Elephas maximus indicus: one gene and its partner. Each later gene encodes a partner of the first gene's protein in a complex. Links are inferred from orthologs where the notes say so. Each region holds a gene or a part of one and is shown on either strand. Other genes may lie near its edges. The genes, in order: NXF1 and NXT1.

Region 1 (10,490 bases):
CATCTTTCCTCTGTGGCTCTCTCCCTGTGTCTCTACTCTTTTTATAAGGACAATCAGTCATGTCAGATTAAGGCCCTCCCTACTCCGATATGACCTTATTTTAACTCATAACATCCTCCAAGACTGTCTCCCAACAAGGTCACATCAACAAGTACCAGAGGTTGAGACTTGATGAACGTATCTTTTTGGGGCACACAGTTCAGCCCATAACACATACCTAAAAAATGAGCAATTCTCTGACAGTATGTAGGAACCCCGCTGGTACAGTAGTTAAAGAGCTCGGCTGCTAACCAAAAGGTCAGCAGTTCGAATCCACCAGCCGCTCCTTGGAACCCTATGGGGCAGTTCTGCTCTGTCCTGTAGGGTTGCTATGAGTCGGAGTCGACTAACGACAATGAGTTTTTTTCTCTGGTACTCAGATCATATTCAAATGTCTTTGTTCTAAAAAATGTTTTTAGCTTTTTTAAATTCAATTTAGAACCCAGCAGGATTCACGCGTTGTATTTGGTTGTTACTTCTCTTTAGTCTACCTTTGGTGTTGTCTTACTTTTTATGACATTGACTTGTTTTTGAAGAGGCCGGTACAGTAGAGTTAGAGAAAGTCCTGCATCGTACATGGGTCCATTGTGTCTTCATGATTAGGTTATTTTGGGCTGTGTAACCTAGGTGATCACATCTGTAGGCACTTAATGTGTGACTATCCCTTTATTGGTGATGCCACGTTTGGGCACTTTAAGGTGGTAACCATCAGATTTCTCCGTCAGAAAGGCCCATTTTCCCTCTTTCTGTGACTAAGTCATCTGTGGAGCGATGCTTTGAGTCCATGTGAACGTCCAGCTCTGCAGGCTCATGGTGATCCTTGTCGGAATCACTTGTTAGATTGTGCATTGCAAAATGGTGATTTTCTAATTCTGTCATTTCCTTTTACATTTATTAGCTGGTATTTTCTCTATATATCACTATGAAGTCATGGCTTTTTTAATTCAATGTATTATAATCCATTTGCCATCATTCTTTATGACAATGAAATTTCTTCATTCTGGCCATATGGAGCCACTTCAGAGCAGCTTCTGTGTATTTTTAACATGAGTCCATTTACTCCCAATCATAAAATTTGGGGGAAACAGAAACTCAGAAAACTAAAATCCCAGGTCTTCTAATCATGGGCAGGTGACCTTTACAGTTAGTTCTTGGGCTCATTGCCTTTTTGGGCTCAACCTTTTTCTTCTTTCTCCTCAACTTCTCATACTCACATTATAGTCCTCTGGTTTCCCATGCTCTCATATCAGTGTCATTATCTGTCATTTCTGCTCAGCCAAACTCTAGCTGCTGCTGCATTTGCTTTTAATACCTAGAGGAAGTTGGCTGCCCATTCTTGGCTGAGATTAACATTCATCCTCTGTGTCCTCCTACCTGAGGACACTCTGGAAAAGGTATCAGGCCAGAGCCAGCCATGCAAAAATGTCCACATATTGGGCGGGAGATAGCCAGATGGCTGTCACGCGCCTTGGTTTCCTCCCATGAATAATATAACCACACCCCTGTACACTCCTTATCCTTTACTTCCCAAGAGTGACTCGTTTGCACATCGCCTTCGCAATGTCCACCATGTCTATAAGCAATCAATTTTTTTTTTCTGTTTCAGTCACGGTTTTTTTTTTTTTAATAATGTGTTTTCAGTGAGAGTTTACACAACAAATTAGGTTCCCATTTAAATAATAAGTTATTCAGTGACATTGACTACGTTTTTTGTCATGTGTCAACATTCTTATCTGCTCTTGTTGTCACAGGAGTTTTTTTTTTTCCTCCTAAATTTTATTTTGTTGTTGGGAACATACACAGCAAAGTACACACCCGTTCAGCAGTTTCTGCATGTTACAGTTCAGTGACATTGATGACATTCTTCGAGTTGTGCAGCCATTGTCACCTTCCTTTTCTGAGTTGTTCCCCCCTCATTAACATAAGCTCATGTGCCCTACGGTTCCTATCTAATCTTTTGAGTTGCTGTTGTCAATTTGATCCCAAGACTCCAACTTCTTACGGCTTGATTCTTTCCCTCTACAGTGTGTCTTTCTCTTCATAGAACATTTGTTTATCCTCCTACCGTTGCATACTTTGCCCCTTTCTGTTTTCCTTAGCTCACCTCTCTCCTTCCCAAGCAATATTTTCTGTCCCATTCATTTTTTTTCTAATTCCCCTGCTACTATCTCTGAATATCCCACTGATTCCTGATTTTTTCACCATCCGAACTCCTGTCTATCAGTTTTCATTCATGAACTCTGGTAGAAAATCTTTCATATGCCAGGTTGCATTTATTAACCTTTTCCATTTTTGTTAAGCAAAGCCATTCGTAGTTGCCCGTATGAACCTTATTTGGTTATAAGAAAACAAACGCATCCACACTGAGAAATGTAATTATACCCAAAAGCTAGGAAGCCTGACACTTTAGTTAGCCTCTCCAACATTATTTGGAAATCACATACGATCCAGGCTCCTCCTGTGTTTGAGACACTGAGGTTAGCTCACAGTCTTCATGACCACCTTCTCAGGACTGGGAACTGGCAGCCACTGGGCCACCCTCTCCTCTCACTTCCCAGCAGGAGTGCCAGGCTCCACCACATTCTTTGTACTTGTAGCCCACAAGTGTGTCCGCTCACAGGGACTACTTTTGCAAAGATAAGGATTTCTATTTGGTTTTTAGGATTGCATATGCAGATTGACTGGGAAATCCTTTATTTTCCTCGGGACTTTCTCAAGAGATTGCCCTTCCTCTAAGAACTTCTCTATATGTAAGAACACCTAATTCTCTAAACCGAAGGATGTCTATGTCTATTGGAAAATTTTCATCCTTTCAAGTTTCAGTTTCTTTTGCATATGCTTGTCTACATTTTCTGTTTCCTTATCCCCCTTTTCTGCTTCAGCCTGCTATAAAATTGTTCCTAAGCCCTTCAACTGAAACTGCTGGCACTGACGTAATTAACACCTTACAGTTCTTACCTCGTACTTCCATTCTCAGAGACATGTTCTCCCAGTAGGCCTTTTCTCATCCCCTGACTTCCTGTCCACATTAAATTTCTCTTCTTCTCTCACTCAGAACCAGGATTTCCTGACTCTGATGGTCTGTGAACTTTTTTCCCTATTATAAATGAGCATATATTTATTAGACAGAAATGAGTAAGTACTGATGAGCCAAAAATTACAGCTAACATTTTGAGGGATCTTACCCATGGGTTGTTGATTGTGATTCATAGCAACCCCACACGACAGAGCAGGACTGTCCCATAGGGTTTTCTGAGCTATGATCTTTACCAGAGGAGATTGCTAGTTTTTTCTCCTGTGGAGCTGCTGGGTGGGTTCTGACCACCAACCTTTTCATTAGTAGCTGAGCACTTAACCGTTGCATCACTGGGGCACCTTTACTATGGATTAGGCACTTTATATTTGTTGATTTATTTTAGACTGACAACAGCCTGAGAGGTAGGGTGTGGGATACCCTCATTTTGCAGATGAGGAAAATGAGACATGAGGTTAAGTGACTGGCTTAGGGTCATAAGCTAATAAGTACAGAGCCGGTTTTCAAACCAGAGCTAAGACTTGGTTATGTAGCCCTCCCGAGCCTTTTTTATGCCCCGTAATAGATACAAAAAAAGGTATCATATTGTATATAAACCCTTTTTGTCCCCACATATTGTGACCATCTTTCCATGTCAATAAATACACCTCAACAGCATTCTTTTTAATCCAGTGTCCTGTTTCCTTTCCTCCCGGCCTGTCCCCAGGATCGACGAGAACGTGCTAGGAGCCCAGCTGGATGTTGAGGCCGCCCACTCAGAGATCCTCAAGTACTTCCAGTCAGTCACCTCCAATCGGTGGCTCATGGTCAAAATCTTCCTCATCCTCATTGTCTTCTTCATCATCTTTGTGGTCTTCCTTGCCTGAGCCCTCTCTACTCTTAAGGCACTCCATGGGGGTTTGGAGCCCTCCCGGGAAGGCAGGTGGCCAGTGCTGCCACTGAGCCTGTGCAGGGTGCTTGGGAGAAAGGCCCTGTTTCCCTGGAACTGCTAAGAATGGCCACTGCCCCTTGACAACGTCCCCCCCCCCCCCCATCTTGCCTCTGGCTACCCTGTCCATCCTCACCATCCTCAACCCACAAAACACACACGGTTCTGGATTTGGACTCTGCTGTGAAGTGACTGGAAGGGAGCAAAGGCCAGCTGGGGGCCAGTGGGAGAGGCTGTCTCTACTATGAGTTTTTCTAAATCCTCCCCAGCCTCTCCTAAAGGAAACTTTGGCAGCAAGGGGAAATGATGCCCTTCCCCCCACCTTCCTGAGAGTGAGGAGAGGAAGAGAAACTGTCCCAGGGACCAACTTTCCCATCTGGGTTAGAACTTGACCTCTTTCTTCTTCCTTTCTTCACCATGTGAGGCTGGGGGTCCTGAGCCCCTCGGCTGCCTGCACAAACCCCAACATGGCTGCTCGTGACTCTCAATCTGCCAAATGCACTGCAGCCCATTTTCTCCCAATTACAGCAAGACTGTCAGCCTCAATAGCCATGTTGTCATTTCTGGGTGGGAGCGTCGAAGGGCCTAGGCAGCAAGTGGGTGAGACCACTGCCCAGTACCAAAACTGAAAGGGTTGCGCTGATGGCTCCAAGGGGCCCCAAGGCCGACTGTGGCAGCCTCTGAGCTCTGTACACACAGCCGCCTCCAGGGAGCAGAGAACCAAATGCAACAGCACCTCATTAGCATGAAACTTCTTTCAAAAGGAGGAGCTGGATCCCAGAGTGGGTGATTGGTGGCCAACTCTGAGACCATCTCGAACAGTGTGTGGACTGATTCCATCTGCATCCTCCAACCAGTTGACCTCAGTTCTTCTCTGAGCTGGTTGAGGCAGGAGCTCTGCCTGCTGTCAGTACCAAATAATGAAGTGCTATATGCCCTGCTCCAGCTGAGGCTCTGTGTTTTCTCCAAGCCCTCGCCAAATTGAAGCCAGTCAAAGAACAGAGGAGAAAACTGCCAGTATACCCATCCTCCAGGGAGGTTGATAGGCTGCTTTGACCTTCCTGACCAGAACCCACAACCACACCATTCTGAGATCACTGGAGTCCGTCTTTCAGACATCCCAAAGGAAACTCGAGCTATAGAGACTCCAGTCATCCTACTCAGGATCTGTCCTAGTACCTTGGGGCCTAGGGGAGCCCCTGGCTTTTTTCACCCTGGCATTTTAATAATTCCTTGCCCCTTGGCCTCTTTTCAAGGGGCCCTGGCGGCACAGTGGTTAAGCACTCAGCTGCTAACTGAAAGATCGGCAGTTCGAACCCACCAGCTGTTGCACAGGAGAAAGATGTGGCGGTCTGCCTCTGTGAAGATGACAGCCTTGGAAACCCAATGGGGCAGTTCTGTCCTGTAGGGTTAGTATGAGTCAGAATCGAGTCACAGCGGTGAGTTTGGTTTTGGCTGTGGCCTCTCTTAAGCAAGTGGTCTTGCTTGCACCTTCGTTGTCTGCCCAGTTGACATATGACGTGGGCCTAGCACAGTGCATAGTGGTTGGGGACATTTGTGAAGTGTTTGCTAAAGCCCGGCATACACGCAGCCTCATTTGACTTGGTAACTCTTCCAGGAGAGGGATGCTTAGAAGGGAAATTTACTTCACAAATATTTGAGTTCCTGCTGTGTGCCAGGCATGGTACTGGGCCAGGAGTTGGAGGGAAAAAAAGCATGAATTAAGTCATGGTCCCTGCTGTCATTCATTCATGTGTTCTCATTAGATTCCGGTGTTCAATTTCGTGGTTATTAACACATTTTATGGGTGAGAAAAACCAGGCTCAAGGTCCCTGCTGGTAAGGGGATGGGCTAAAACTTGGTCAAATGGCTGGATCCTGCTAGGTGTCCGTGAGAGAGAAATCCCACTCCGGGGTCCGGTCTCCAGTTCCTCGGAAGCCCTTGGCGCGACCCTTCTTCCCCATTTCTCTCCGAGTCCTGGGCTGGAGCAGCCTCGAGGCCGTTGGGCTGTTCGCTGCTCCCGCGCTAACTCGAGCAGGACGGATTAACTCAATAAACAGGGTACTCGCGGGCTTCGCTGTGCTTCATTACCAATCTAGGGCGCAATTTCACCTGCGTTCGACATGAACCCCAGATGAAACTGTGCACTACAGATTAGTACGCAAAGTTAACCCCGTGCATACCGTGCTTACCGGTTAACCCGCCACTGCCCCGGAGGTGCCGGAGGAGCGCCGGCCGACGTTCGAAGAAGGTGGCGGGTGAATGGGCCTGGGATTCCGGGCTCCGAAAGCGCAGCCCTCGGAGCCGGCCCCGCCCCCAGCCGCGTCCTGCCGTTTGCGCACGCGCAGTGCGCTGCGCTAGTCCCGGCGGCCCCGCCCACCAACTGGGGACGTCGGCGGCGCGCGACGTGCTCCTCCGGGCAAATGCGGCGGTGCCGGGCGTAGAGGTGTTTCGGCCTGGGTGCCTGGGCGTTCGGACGTTTGGTGGCCCGCGCCTGAGCGTCCCTGCTTGTCGCAGCGCCATGGCCGACGAGGGGAAGTCGTACAGCGGTGAGTGCTGGTCCTCGGGCGGCGGAGCGGGGCGATCCGGGGCCGGGGTGGGCGGCGCCGGCCTAGGCCTCAGCGCCGGGGCGTGAGGCCGCGAGGGGCCCGGCGTCCGTGGGGAAGGGCGCGGGGCGGGCGGGCCGGGGGCGAGGCGGCCTCGGGAGGCCCCAGCCGCACTCGAGGTGGGCGCCGGGGTTGTTGACTCGGGAATCCTGGCGTGAGGACCTGCGGCTCGAAGCGGGTGGCTCAGGGTGGGGTGACAGGATTCCTTTGAACTGTGGGTGGTTGATGCCTGTCAGTTCAGTTTGGCGGCCCGACTCTTCCTTTAATGTGACTCAGTGTATCTGGGCTGCCGTGGTGCCCAGTTTTCTACCGCGTGTAGTCGGTATCGTACCTCTTCCTGCCGTTTGAGCTTAATGTCGTAGACCACCTATACACCACCTCGATATTCTGATCTCCTGGGTTTAGTCCAGCGTAGTGTTCATGAATCAAAAACGACGTATTGCATCGGGCAGATCTGTGCCAAAGACCATCTTAAAGTGTTAAAAAGCAAAGATGTCGCTGTGAAGACTAAGGTGCGCCTGACCCAAGCCGTGGTATTTTCAAACGTCTTATGTGTATGCGAAAGCTGGGCAAAGAATAAGGAAGATGAAAGAAGAAGCGAGGCCTTTGAATTATGGTGTTCGCAAAGAATATCGAATATACCACGGACTGCCAGAAGAACGAACAAGTCTGTTTTGGAAGAAGTACAGCCAGAACGCTCGTTAGAAGCAAGAATGGCGAGAGTTCATCTCATGTACTTCAGTCACATTATCAGGAGGGATCAGTCCCTGGAGAAGGAGATCATGCTTGGTAGAGGATCAGTCAGAAAGAGGAGACCCTCAACAAGGTGGATTGACACAGTGGCTCAAACGTAGCCATGATTGTGAGGATGGCGCAGGATCAGGCAGTGTTTTGTTCTGTGGTACCTAGGGTTGCTGCGTCGGAACTGACTTGAGGGCACCTAACAACCAACAGTGGTTAGGAGTGCATGACAGCCGAGGTTTGAATCCTGATTTGGCTGCACCAAGCTTGAGTGAGTTAATTAAACTCAGGCCTTGTCTTCCGTTATCTGTAATAAGGTAATAATAGTATCTAACTCCTAAGGTGTGTGTGTGTGTGCGCTTAAATGAGATGGTTCAAGTCAAGTTCCTGGAGCATAGTGTTTAGACTGGAGAAAACGTGCAGTGAATGTGAGCTGCTGTTGTTATTCTTTTTTTTTTTCTTCCTTCCCTGGGTCAGTTTGTTGGGGTTCACTGGTCGGAGGATACTAGGCATTAGGCAGATCTTCTTGGTTGGAGGATACCAGGCGTTAGGTAGACCTTCTTGGGGAGTCATGGACCGTTTCTTAAAAGCTATTCCTACACATCTGGATTCAGAGAATCATGTCCCTGGAGCTCATTCCAGGCTCCTTTGTTGAGCATCTGTCCTAGGCTGGAGCCGCCACTCGAGCCTGAGTCTAGGAGCTGTCCCCACAGCTAAAGGCATTTCAGGCAAAGGAAATGGAGGACTCATTCACAAAACTTCAGAGTGGCAGTTTGAGAGCAGGGAGATTTTTTAAGGTGGCCCTAAAATTGGTCATATTTGGGGTTGACATTTGGTAAAAAGTACGATTTACCAAAAGCTGATGTCATCATTGTGATTGGTTAGGTTAGGAGGTGTGAGAGAAATCAGGTTACACTGAGTAGACCTGGGAGGCTGAGAGAAAGCAGGAACTTTAAGTGACTTTGGGGGTCTGATTTGTGTCCACTTATACTTTTGGATTACCCACATTTCCACAGCCTGCTTCTCCTTTCTGTAGTACGAAATTCTGCTGTCATTTTCGAAAGCCCTACACAGTTTTCCCTGGTGGTGCAGTGGTTAAAACACTCAGCAGCTAACCAGAAGTTTTGCAGTTCGAACCCATCAGCTGCTCCACGGGAGAAAGATGTGGCAGTCTGCTGCTGTAAAGATTTACAGCCTTGGAATCTCTATTGGACACTTCTGTTCTGTCCTTATAGGGTCGCTAGGACTTGGAATAGACTCTGCAGCAACGAGTTTGGTTTTTAAACACAGTTTGCCAAGAATTTTTCCTTGAAGATGCCATCTCTCAGAGAGGGCTCTTTAGACAGGCAGAGGGGTTTGTGTGGAGGTGGCCTCTGTTATATGTATCTCGTCTAGTAGTACAGGGTGACAAATACTGTGATTGCCACACCAGGGTATCTGGACTACTGATGTGTTTCTAACTAATTTGTGTTCCTGTTTCCGATTCCAGAGCACGATGACCGTGTTAGTTTACCTCGAAGAAGAAAAGGCCGGGGTCCTTTCCGTTGGAATTATGGCGAGGGGAACCGTCGCTCTGGAAGAGGCGGTTCTGGTACTCGGTCTTCTCGCCTTGGGGAAGATGATGGCGATGTGGCGATGGTTGATGCCCAGGATGGTCCCCGAGTACGATAGTAAGTGACCAGTTGGTCTGGCTGAAATTTAGTGACCCATCAGATTCTGCAGCTCTCTTACTGTCCATACCCCTTCTCTTTCCCATTTTGAAGGATGAGAAATGCCAGAATCGGCTTAATGGTTGAACACCCTCAGCTCTAGCCATGATAACAGTGTGGAGGCCTTTGAGAAGAATTTTCTAGCACTTACGGACATTTTTTTCCTCACAGCAACCCTTATGCTGCCCGACCCAACCGTCGCGGTGATAATTGGCACGATCGAGGCCGTATCCACGTCACTGTGCGGAGAGACAGAGCTCCTCCAGAAAGGGGGGCGGCTGGCACCAGCCAGGATGGGACCTCGAAGAACTGGTTCAAGATTACAGTGAGTACCTTGGAAAAGAAGTAGGTGGTGTAGGGGAGACGGGGGCTGGGCTCACAGTGAAAGCGTTTCCTGTTTATTTCATAAAGTCAGTCTTTTCGGCTCTTTATCTTACAACTAGGCATCTGTCTGTTTTGCCTAAGGATCAGTATCGTAGAACACCAAAAAGTTGGTCTGTAGAAGGGAACAGGCAGGATGGGGGTACCATCTACAGGGAAACATGGTAACTGTGCTTGGGAGATAGAGAAACTCCTGGCTGTCTCAATTAGAATCCCTGGAGTTCTCAGAGGGGCAGGCAAGGTGTAAACGATAATCTTGGAGCTTTTAGAACCAAAAGTTTTTATTCTTTTGCAAAAAAAGTTTAAGTGGACAGGAAGCAAGTTAAGGGGTTCACATCTAACTTAAATAATGAGCATATGTCTAGTCCTCTTCTTAGAAAATCTTTTAAAAGCTTGGCAGAAGGCCTGAAAAAGCCACTAGGTTGGGTTTGCTCTTCTACCTTAGTTACGTATTGTTGTTCTCTTTTTTTTCTTTTTCCTTTTTAGATTCCTTATGGCAGAAAATACGACAAGGCCTGGCTGCTGAGCTTGATTCAGAGCAAGTGCAGTGTTCCCTTCACTCCTGTCGAGGTGAAATAAGGCCTCAGTCTCAGGCTGGTGGGGCACCTTGGAGGGCAGAAGGGGTCTGGGCTCTAAGTCTAATGCTGCTATTTCTGCTTCTTACAGTTTCACTATGAGAACACACGGGCCCAATTTTTTGTTGAAGATGCCAGCACCGCCTCTGCACTGAAGGCTGTCAACTATAAGATTTTGGATCGGGAGAACCGAAGGGTATGTGTAGAGGGCCCTGGCTTGGCGGGATATGGGGACTGGTGCACAGGGCAGGGACTGGGTCTTAGCACTGGGGCTTGGACTTCCTGGGGTTTACCCTGCCCTTTGTTTCTTCCCTGCAGATATCAATCATCATCAACCCCTCAGCTCCACCCCAAACGGTGCAGAACGAGCTGAAGCCAGAACAAGTAGAGCAGCTAAAGGTGAGGCAGGCTCGAGCAATGTGTTTCCACCCCATCCCCACACACATCCCCAGTCACAGCTGAACCTTTTCTCTTTCT
Region 2 (10,433 bases), on another chromosome or scaffold:
GGGGGCTGTGGCTGTGCTGTGTCACTCTCACAGTTGGGGGAGCTGAAAGAACTGCCCGGTAGAGACCATATATCATGAAGCACAGAGAAGCCAGGTCACTTCCAGATGCAGGGCCCAAAGAAGGTGCCTTCAAGGAGGTGGCATTTGAGGGGAATTTTTGAGGAAGTAAAGCAGGGCAGCCACTTCTCACAATGCCCTCCGTGACAGTGTGTTTACAGGTCTCATCCCCCAGGTCAGCTCGCGAGGGTGGGGACCACCAGCCCCTCACTCTTCCTCTGTGTGTCAGCTCAGGGTACACAGGCACAGCACGCCCCAGACCTGAGGTTGGCCCGCTTGACTGGGAGTCTGATGGCGGGGCGCCCAGCACCAGCCACCTCAAAGTCACACCTAATGTCACCAAATGTCACACGTAAGAAACACTGAGTCTGCTGGTCACCCAGGGCCTGCTTGTAACAGTTGGTGCCCGCCAGCCCCCGGGTTCCCATGTCAGGGAACTCAGCTGAGTCCCAAACGCCTGACGGTTTCTACTCCAGACTTGTGGGAGGGATGCCTCTCCACCTCTCCTGCCAGAAGGGTCAGGAGTACAAGGGCAATGACACCCACCCAGCAGCCCTCGGCTCTCGGGAGTTGGTCTATAACTACTCCAGCTTCTGCACCCTCCCCTGCCTCTGCCAGGCAGGATAATTCTCAGGTGTGTGTTCCATGCTGTCTTCAGAGTCCCACAGCACGATCAGGCTCTAGTCACTCACGGTGGGGCTGGCTGGTCAAGCTCTCTTCTCCTTCCTCAACACCCCACTCCCCTACTGGCATTCCCCGCCCCTCCCAGATGACTTACTCTGAATCCTCACTTTGGACCTGCCTCTAGAAGAACTCACTACGTACTAGGCACTTCCTGCACATTAGGTCACGGAACCTGCTTAGAAGCAGAGAAGACTGTCCCCTGAGAGTCAAGCCAGCCGACAAATGCAATGTCACCTTGAAGAGAAACGAGGCTCTGGGCTGCCAGGCTATGATGTGAGGGAATGCGTCCCGATACCCATAGCCAGAGCTTAGAAACACACAAAAAGATGGGGGGATGAAGGGCTATTACAGAGACAAGATAGGAGTGCTGGTGGGAGGGAGCCAGGGTCAGCGGACTCAGTGTGGGTCTCAGATCCCACTGCTGCCAGCTGCTGTCCTCACTGGAAAGGTAGATCCATCTGGCCACGTCAGCTTGATACAGCCAACCCCAGGACCCTACTGGCCATCGTCTCTTCCTGCTCTGATCCACGCTCACAGAGCTGCTCACTGATGACGCCGAGGATTCCTGCCTCCATCTGCTCCTGCAGAGAGAACAAACTTGCCTAGCAACATGAGCGCTCTGGCCCTGGCAGCTACTTGTGCCTATGGATGAATAAACTGACACCCATCCTACGGCGCAGTCTTACGAGCTGGTTTGAAATGACTCATTCTCTGACCAGTGGATTCATTTTCAAGATTAGGTAGGGAAACCGCCTCGGGACTGTTGCGAGTTCTTTGGTGCATCCCCTTGCAAGGCCTCTCGGAGCCCTGTCCTCAGGTTCCTTTAGTGCAAGTGGCAAACTCCTTTCATACAGACACAAATTTAAAAAGAAGGTACTGCCACGCTGGGCTCTCCTGGAGACTTGGAGAACAGTAACGCAAATGGCTCTGGTTCTCTTGCTCATTACAAATCACCACAAAATTTAGTGGCTTAAGAAAACAATCATCACTTACTTTCTCATGCCCCTGCAGTTTGGTCAGGGCTTAGGGGACAGGCTCATCTCTACCAGCAGCAGCAGGACAGTCCCACTCACCTCCAAGATAGCGCACTCACACAACTGGCCACTTGGTGCTTGCTATTGGCTGGGCAGTGGGTGGCTCAGCTGGGTGGAAGCTTTGGGTCTTCATTTCTGTGCTTACCCACAGGTGCTCTGGGCTTACTCATGGTAGCTGGGTTCATGGATGAGCGTATGAAGAGACAGCTGGGCAGAGCCGCACCCCCTTTTATGACCTAACCTCACACACAACCATTTCCTCTGAACCCTGTGAGTTGGGCCTGCCTCACTGGGTCCCCAGGCCTGACCAGATCCAAGGGAAGGGGACAGACACCATCTCCTGGTGGGGACGGCAAGGCAAGGTTTGGACAAGCACATGGAACCAGAAACATTTTTGTGCCCGTTTTTTGGAAAATAACACTTGCCACAACAAGGAACAAAAAAACACTGGGAACCAAGGCAGCTGTTCACCAAGAGCTCATGTGCCTATGCCTGCGTGGGTGTGCCCTACTCTAGCACTCTCTCAGATCACGTGGCCTTTTGACTCTGCTTCATTATCTCGTCTGTCCTCATGGCCACCCAGCTCCCAACCTACAGGCGCTACTGGCCTCAGTTCTTTCTGCCTTCCAAGAATCCCAGGAACTCTCCTCTCCTCTCCTCAGTGGGACTGGCTGTCAAGCTGCCCCACCCCTTCCTGGCCAAGCGGCAGGTGGCGCATGGTTGGAGTTAGGCCAATGCAGCTCTCTGTCTCCCAGGAATCTGAATCTTGAGTGGAGGATCCCAATGGCTAGAAATTTGTCCGAGGTAGCACCTGAAGCACCCACTGCCCAGTTCCTGCTCCCCAGACCCCAGGAGTCTTACCAAGCCCTGCCTTGGCTCAGCAAGCACCTGCAGGCTTCCAGTAAACACCTCTGGCCTACATTAGCCAAAACTGGTTTCTGTTACTTGCGAACAATCAACCCCAATAAATATCCATATTCAGTTCCAGCCACACCTGAAGCTTATTAGCAGTTTCTGGCTCCCAAAATTCCACGTTTCCGGGAAAGAGCATTTGATGGCTCAGCTGGAGAGACTTCCACCTGCAACCCAATCAGCAATGATTCCAAGAACATTCTCAAACAAAGGGCATCCTTGTAGGCGAGGCAAACACTCCCAGTGGTGCCTCCACAATGCGCTGCCATTTAACTACTACGGCATTCCCACTCCCATTTCACAAAGTCACCGAGGAACAGAGGAGGCAGAGTGGCAGAGCTAGGATTTCACAAAACCCTGTCTGCCCCATATGATATGCTCCTTCCATGGCCTCCAGAAAAGTCTCCCCAAAAGTGGGGTCCCCAAGTGACCTCCCAGAACTACAGCCCTGGCTCGCCTGGTTGTTCGGCAGCTTGATGGCCCTGCTGAGGCTTTAGTCTTGTTGCCCCCTGGGTACGAGAGGCTCTCAGTTCTACCTTCTGCCCTCAAATGGCAATCTCTGAAACAAATAAATCAGGGAAAGATTAAAAAAAAAAAGATTTGTTATCAGTGCCAATGCAGGTGGCCCAGCTCCAAGCCTCTTAAGGCAAACACGTGCTGCTAGGTCCTGCAGCAGACACACACCGACAACAGGGGAGATCAACCCTGTCCTTCAGACATAAACATCCTAAGTCAGGCCTGTCTTCAGAGCTGCCAGAGGCTCCGCACGTAGATGTGTCCTCCCTCCCTGGAGAGGCTCCAGGCTGCAAACGGGGCCTCTGCTCTAAGAGAGGCTTCATTTTCTAGAAGGTGCCAATGTGATTTGGTGATAAATCCAGCTAATTTGTCAATACACTTGTCCCATGCTTAAAAGCCAGTCTTTGGAGGGAGAGCTTGTTGGCAAATCAGGAAGTTGCTGTCAGTGCAAACTGTCTAAGCATAATTCTGCCTTGGTGGTGTTTCCTGGGTGCTTAATCTAGGCCAGGCTCTGTGCCAAGCATTGCTTCCTTCGCTGCTCGCATCTGCCCAAGAAAATGGGTATTATTATTGTCCTCATTCTCCGGTGAGGCAGCTGAGACTCAGAGAGGTTAGTTTACATGATCCCCTAGTCAACCCACCAGTCACCTCTACTAGGTATACTAGTTAAATTATAAGTAACGTAAAGCCCAACTTTAAATAGCATGAAAAATGAAGGATATTTTACTAGCTCCTGAAACTGCAAAGTCCAAACTTCAGGGCTGGTTTGACTCAGGGTCTTAACACAGTCATCGAGTGCCTGATTTCTTCCCATCTCTCATGTCTGTCTCATGGGCATGGGGCTCCCCTCAGGGGGGAAAGATGGTTGTCGCAGTGCCATCCACACACCACAAGTCCAGAGAGAGAGAAAACATTTCTTTCCCAGCACCCCTGAGCAACCACCTTCTCCAGGCTTGGTGGCCCTGACTGGGTCTCCCACCATCCCTGAGTTCTGCTTGGGGCACAGTGCCAGCACCCTGTGCCTGAGGGCCAGGCGTGGCCCTAAACTCCCAAATGCAAGGACTGCAGGGGAATAACAACTAGCGGGGCTTCCAAGAGAAGGGGGAGTAGACTTGGGGGAGGGGTCATCACAATTGCAATGTTGTAGAGCAATGATTTGAACTCAGGCCTGTCCTGCACCAAAGCCTATTCATTCAAACAGTATTTATTGAGCTCTTACTGTGAGTTAAGCACAATTTTAGATGCTAGACACAGGTCTTAAAGGTCCCTGCCTTCCTACCCACTGCTGGCTCTGCTGCCTCTTGGGGACAAAGTCCTCTGTATTTACAAGGCATTGGAGATGGACAAACGTTGTCCTGTTCAGCTTTTTTAGGTCTAACTCAACTCTGTAACTCCAGGCTGCTAATTTCATTTCTCTCTCAGCCTCCTCGTCTATAATATCAGGAATAATAACACCTTCCTCAAAGGGTTATGAAAAAAGGGGAATACAGGGAAACTTAAAGCAGCCTAACATTCAACCTAGTGAGCACAGAGTAATCAGCTTTCTTTTCATCCACTGGTGCTGGGATATGGACTTGTGCACAGCGAACCCTGACCTCACTGTCCTGGGCTTCATAAAGAAATAACTGGTATGAGCACTGCTCCAAAGACGCTCATTCGACCTTTCTACTCAGCCTCCAGCTTACTTCTTACAATCCAAACCTCCTTCACCTACTTGATTTCAGTAGCCCATCTTTACTAAACAGCCCACCCGGTTTCTAAGCTCGTCTTGAAATCTGAGAGCAAGGGTTCTCTGAGCAACGCGAGCAAACTCAAGGCTGAGGACACCAAAAAAGCATCCCTCCGATGAATACACGCCCTAAAAGGACACTGCAAAATCCTTGAACCTAGCCCATGCCCAGAATGCTCCCTCACCTTTAACCCAAAAAAATCAAACCCGTTGCTATCGAGTCAATTCCAACCCTCAGTGACCCCACAGGAGAGAGAACTGCCCCATAGTTTCCAAGGAACACCTGGTGGATCCGATATCGCACCTAAGGGTCAGCAAGTGGAGCTCAGAATCTTCCGCCTGAAGTCCAAACGTGTTTTATTCTCACTTTTATTTTCACTAAATGATTCCATATTGGTCAGCTGAAGTTCCAGACAGCTAGTTTGGAAAGCTGGAGCACAGAATCAAGCCACCAGCCAAGCTCTGAGCCACAGCTGGCACCATAAGTATGGAGTGAAGGAAGGAGCCCCTCGGTTCTCAAGACGCAGAAGGTAAACTGCCCTTTGGCGCCCTTTTGCCAGTTCCCAGCTTTACCCACGCCCTCATCCCCATCCTCGACCCTCTTCTCACTTTTAGGCAGTTTCCCGAGACCAAACCCGTTGCCCTGGACTTGAATCCCACTCCCAGCGACCCTACAGGACGTGCTGACCTGCCCCACAGTACTTCCGAGGCAGTAATTCGTCTTGGCAGAAGTGCAGCCAGAACGCTCCTGGGAAACGAGGATAAGGAGGCTCCGTCTCTGGTACTGTGGACACGTTACCACGAGGGCCCGGTCCCGGGAGGGCATCATGCTCGGCTGAGGGTCAGCGGAGAGAGGCAGACCCTCGGCGAGGCGCGCGGACGCGGCGGCTGCACCGGCGGGTTCACAGCAGCAGGCCGGGGCGCCGGCACGGAAGCCGGCCGTGCTCCGTCCCTTGCCTCAGGGTCGCTATGAGCCGGACAGCACCACAGCACCTAACGACAAGCTCACGGAAGCCTCGTCCGGGTGCCTCAGAGCGGCCGGCGGGCTCCAGCCGCGGGCCTTTCGGTTAGCAGCCGAGCCCTGTAACCACTGCTCAGCCGGGGCTCCTGGGTCCCCGCTTACCAGAAGACCTTCCCAACCCCTCAGCCCGTCAACTCCAAGGGCCTCAAGCTACAAACGGCAGCGCCCGCTCGGGTCACCGCTTGGGCAGATAATTACCCTCTCGGAGGGTGCACGTGCTCCCGGCGACCACACGCGATGTCTGACTGAGCGCCTCAGTGGGCTGCCCCGGATGCACAAGTCGCGGGGCGTCACATGCCCCGGAACCGGAAGCCCCAGCTGCAGTTGAGCGTGCGCGCATGAACCTCTCCGGCAGAGCATCACAAGTGGGCGGCCTCGGCTCCGGGGGCGGGGCCTGGAAACTTTATCCAATCAACGATATCTCACCTAACTATTTGGACCGGAGTCTGTGACCCGGTTGGACCAATGAAAGCTCGAGCGCTGCCGTTGCCTGGACCCTCCCCCGCCCGGAAACCGCGGCTCTCTTCCCGCCACACCTAGGCGGGGCTACCTTCCGACTCGCCTTCCCATTGGTTCACTCAGCTGCCGGTCACGCAAGGCGGGCCTCCAGTGGGAATCTGCACCGGGAGCCGCCGGGGGCGCCTCCGGCCGCCAGTCGCCGCCGCCGCCTAGGGCCCCGGCGATCCAGCTGAGTGAGCCCCGCTGGAGGAAAAGAGGGCGGCTCTTCCCGCGCCCCCCACAGGTGAGCCATGGGGGAGCTGAGAGCCTCGGCAGTCCCACCCGTGACCTTCAGGTGCCGGGCCTCTCGGTAGACCTGCAGTCCGCGACGCCCCCTGTCCCCGCCCCGTCGCCCCTGGGGACTCCTACCGCCCCCCGCGCACCGGAGACGCCCCCGCCCCACGGGGACTCCCCCCGCCCACCGGAGACGGCCCCGCCCCCCCGGGACGCCCACTGCCCCTGCCCCGCCGGCCCCCGGGGACGCCCACCGCCCACCCCGGACGCCTACCCGCCCCCACTCCCCGCCCACGCTCACTGGGGGTCGCTGAGTCGCACCCCGACCCGCGCTGGCGAGGGAGGCGGAGACCCTCTCCGCCCGCGCTGACCCGGGATGTGGTCTGCACAGGTAGGTCGCCGACCCCATCTGGTACATTGGGGACCACGCGCGGACGCGGAGCGATTCACGAGAGACAGGGAGAGGAACACGGGCATTCCCGAGCCTTGCTTCACTGTCAAGGGAAACCCGCGGGTTTTGTCGCTAAATCAGGAGGTATCAGTGCAGGCCTGCGTTAGGTTTCTGCGTGTGCGGGAGGAAGAGCATGCGTTCAGAGAGAAACTCTCGGTAAGTTTGCATTGCAGTGAGCAGGAGAGAGCCATGTAGAGGAGCAGCTCTGAGGCCTCAGAAGAACTGTGTAACTGTTGCATCTTCTCACTCAGCATTCGGTGATGTGGAGCCCAGAGAAAAGGAGGCGGTATTCACAGATTTTCATTTATCCCACTTTCCACAGTCTCATTATTGCTCTGTATTAACGTAGCGAAGAGACGTGGTCGTTTATTGGGAGAGGGGACATGATTGTGAGTGGAAGCAGAGGTGGGGGAACAGGGGCTCAACTGAAGAGAAGGTCCGGAGACAATGGAATTGAGACGATGGAGGACTGACGGGACATCAGGATGAGGAGGAATGTGGACCTTGTAATGGTCGGGCCTTCCAGAAAGAGAAATCTGAGTTTCCAGAAAGGAATTTTCAAACCACTTGTCCTGGAGCTAAGCTCAAGTAGACAAATTCAGCTTTAGTTAAAAAATGCAGGGAACTTTGAGCAAATAAAAGGCCAGCAGTCTTTTGAAATTTTTCAAGGTCCACAGACGTTTTTATGAACGGTAAATCAGGCATCTACTTACTGTTGTGATCTTGTTCCAGACTGTTGTTTTCTGATTTATAAAGCTGTTGTGTAATGTCCTCCTCACCCATTCATTATCCAGCTGCTGGCAACGCTCCAGGACGGAGCAGAGCTGCCGGGTGGGGTTTCCAAGGCTGTAAATCTTTACAGAAGACTGCAACAGGTTTCTCCCGTGCAGAGGCAGATGAGTTCAAACCACTAACCTTAAGTTTAGCAGCTGAGTGCTTAACCCCTGTGCCACCATGGCTCCTTTCATCCAGCATGGTGATGCTTAAGTGAAGGTAAGGCGTGTAAAGCCCTATCACAGTACCTAGCCCAGAGTAAGTGCGCACTGATGTCTGGTATCGAGGTCCGTGGAGGAAGTGGAAAGACCAGTGTCTGTGGAAGACCCAACTCTTATGTCTAGGGCTGCTCCCCCACCCCCCACCCCCCACCCCCCACCCCCCACCCCCCACCCCCCACCCCCCACCCCCCACCCCCCACCCCCAGCTCTTCACAGGTCTTTACTAGAGGCAGATGCCAGTGCCTTTCCCAGCCTTTAAATCTACCTGACCAGGTCTCTTTCTCCACCCCATGTGGAATCTGTCATCTGTTTTGTTAGCTGATGATTACAGCAGGCTCTAGTGGCACGGTGCTCACGCACTTAGCTGCTAAGTGAAAGCTTAACGGTTCAAACCTGTTAGCTGCTCCATGGGAGAAAGATGTGGCAGTCTGCTTCTATAAAGATTCACGGCCTTTGAAACCCTACAGGGCAATTCTGTTCCGTCCTGTACACGGTTGCCATGAGTCAGAAGGTTTTTTGGGGGGCGGTGCTTATAAGAACAGAAATTTATTGCCTCATGATTTTAGAGGCTTGTAGTCTGAATTCATGTTCTCAACAAAAGGTCTAGGCTAAGATTTTTTTTTTTAAGTGAAAGTTTAAAAACAAGTCAATATCTCATATAAAAACTTATGTAACCTTGCTGTGTACTCCTGTTTCCACTTCTGTATTGACACAGCGAAACCCTGGTGGCGTAGTGGTTAAGTGCTATGGCTGCTAACCAAAGGGTTGGCAGTTCGAATCTGCCAGGCGCTCCTTGAAAACCCCTCTGTGGGGCAGTTCTACTCTGTCCTATAGGGTCGCTATGAGTCGGAATCGACTTGATAGCACTGGGTTTGGTTTTTTGGGGTTTTATTGACACAGCACACTCTTTCCCTCCGCTCTCTATTTTTGTGTCCATTCAGCCAGCATCTGCCCCCCTCTGCCCTCTCCTTTCTTCTCCAGACAAGAGCTCCCTACAGTTTCCTGTGTCTGCTTGTTTGGGTTTACTTGATCCAAGGAGCTCACTCTTCACCAATATCATTTTCTGTCCCATCGTCCAGCCCAATCTCTGTCTGAAGAGCTGGCTTTGGGAATGGTTCCTGTCTTGGGCTAACAGAAAGTCTGGGAACCATGACCTCTGGGGTCCTTCTAGTCTCAGTTCGACCATTAAGTCTGGTCATTTTGCGGAATTTGGGGTCTGCATCCCCATGCTCTCCTCCTGCTCCCTCAGGGGTTCTCTGTTGTGTTCCCTGTCAGGGCAGTCATCAGTTGTAGTTAGGCACCATCTAGTTCTTCTGGTCTCAGGCTGAGGTAGTCTCTGGTTTATGTGGCCCTGTCTGTCTCTTGGACTCACAATTAATGACCTTGTATCCTTAGTGTTCTCCATTCTCCTTTGCTGCAGGTGGGTTGAGACCAATTGATGCATCTTAGATGGCTACTTACTAAGATTTAAGATCCCAGAAGCCGTGCTCTAAAGTGGGATCAGAACATTTTCTTAATAGATTTTATTATGCCAGTTGAGTTAGATGTCCCCTGAACCCATGGTCCCCAAACCCGCACCCCTGCTGCGCTGGCCTTCGAAGCATTCAGTTTATTCAGAGACTTCTCGCTTTCGGTTAAGTCCGGTTGTGCTGACCTCTCCTGTATTGTGTGTTGTTTTTCCCTTCGCCTAAAATAGTTCTTACCTACTATCTGATTGGTGAAAACCCCTCTCCCTCCCTCCCTCCCCGCTCTCATAATAATCAAAGAATATTTTCTTCTCTGTTTAAACTATTTTTTGAGTTCTTATAATAGTGGTTTCATAAAATTGGTCGTTTTGCAACCGACTAATTTCACTCAGCATAATGCCTTCCAGGTTCCACCACGTTACAAAATGTTTCACAGCTTCCTCACTGTTCTTTATCGATGCATAGTATTCCATTCTGTGAATATACCATAATTTATCCATTCATCTGTTGATGGACACCTTGGTTGCGTCCATCTTTTTGCTGTTGTAAACAGTGCTGCAGTAAACACGAGTTGCATATATCTGTTCGTGTAAAGGGTCTTATTTCTCTAGGATATATTCCAAGGAGTGGGATTGCTGGATCTTATGGCAGTTCTATTTCTAGCTTTTTAAAAATCGAAGGAAGTGCCAAATCGATTTCCAAAGTGGTGGTACCATTTGACATTTCCACCAGCAGTGTATAAGTGTTGCAGTCTCTCCACAGCCGCTCCAACATTTATTATTTTGTGTTTTTGGATTAACGCCACCGTTATTGGAATGAGATGGAATGTCATTGTA

What was found.
Region 2: the proteins of NXF1 (region 1) and NXT1 are in contact, whole or in part, in a crystal structure (PDB 4WYK), measured with the Homo sapiens proteins. The link is inferred for Elephas maximus indicus from reciprocal best matches to the Homo sapiens genes NXF1 and NXT1. Residues at the interface, in NP_006353.2 of Homo sapiens: Ala366, Pro367, Thr368, Thr369, Leu370, Pro371, Pro372, Cys373, Lys374, Gly375, Tyr377, His411, Gly413, Cys415, Cys416, Ser417, Leu418, Ser419, Ile420, Pro421, Phe422, Arg440, Asn441, Val442, Lys443, Lys444, Lys446, Pro448, Thr449, Arg451; in NP_037380.1 of Homo sapiens: Phe6, Lys7, Val10, Asp11, Cys14, Glu18, Thr44, Val46, Trp47, Asn48, Gly49, Asn50, Ala51, Phe61, Met64, Leu65, Pro66, Ile72, Ser73, Val74, Val75, Asp76, Cys77, Gln78, Pro79, Val80, His81, Glu83, Ala84, Thr85.

Annotation. Positions count from the first base shown.
Region 1 is NC_064825.1:125,953,421-125,963,910, reverse strand, and holds the start of NXF1 (nuclear RNA export factor 1), read left to right. Parts: upstream 1-6,370; 5' UTR 6,371-6,522; coding exon 6,523-6,550; intron 6,551-8,837; coding exon 8,838-9,018; intron 9,019-9,228; coding exon 9,229-9,382; intron 9,383-9,924; coding exon 9,925-10,008; intron 10,009-10,104; coding exon 10,105-10,209; intron 10,210-10,331; coding exon 10,332-10,412; intron 10,413-10,490. Other genes in the region: STX5 (syntaxin-5), read left to right, coding at 3,780-3,939.
Region 2 is NC_064843.1:65,787,473-65,797,905, forward strand, and holds the start of NXT1 (NTF2-related export protein 1), read left to right. Parts: upstream 1-6,551; 5' UTR 6,552-6,695; intron 6,696-7,076; exon of another isoform or gene 7,077-7,292; intron 7,293-10,433.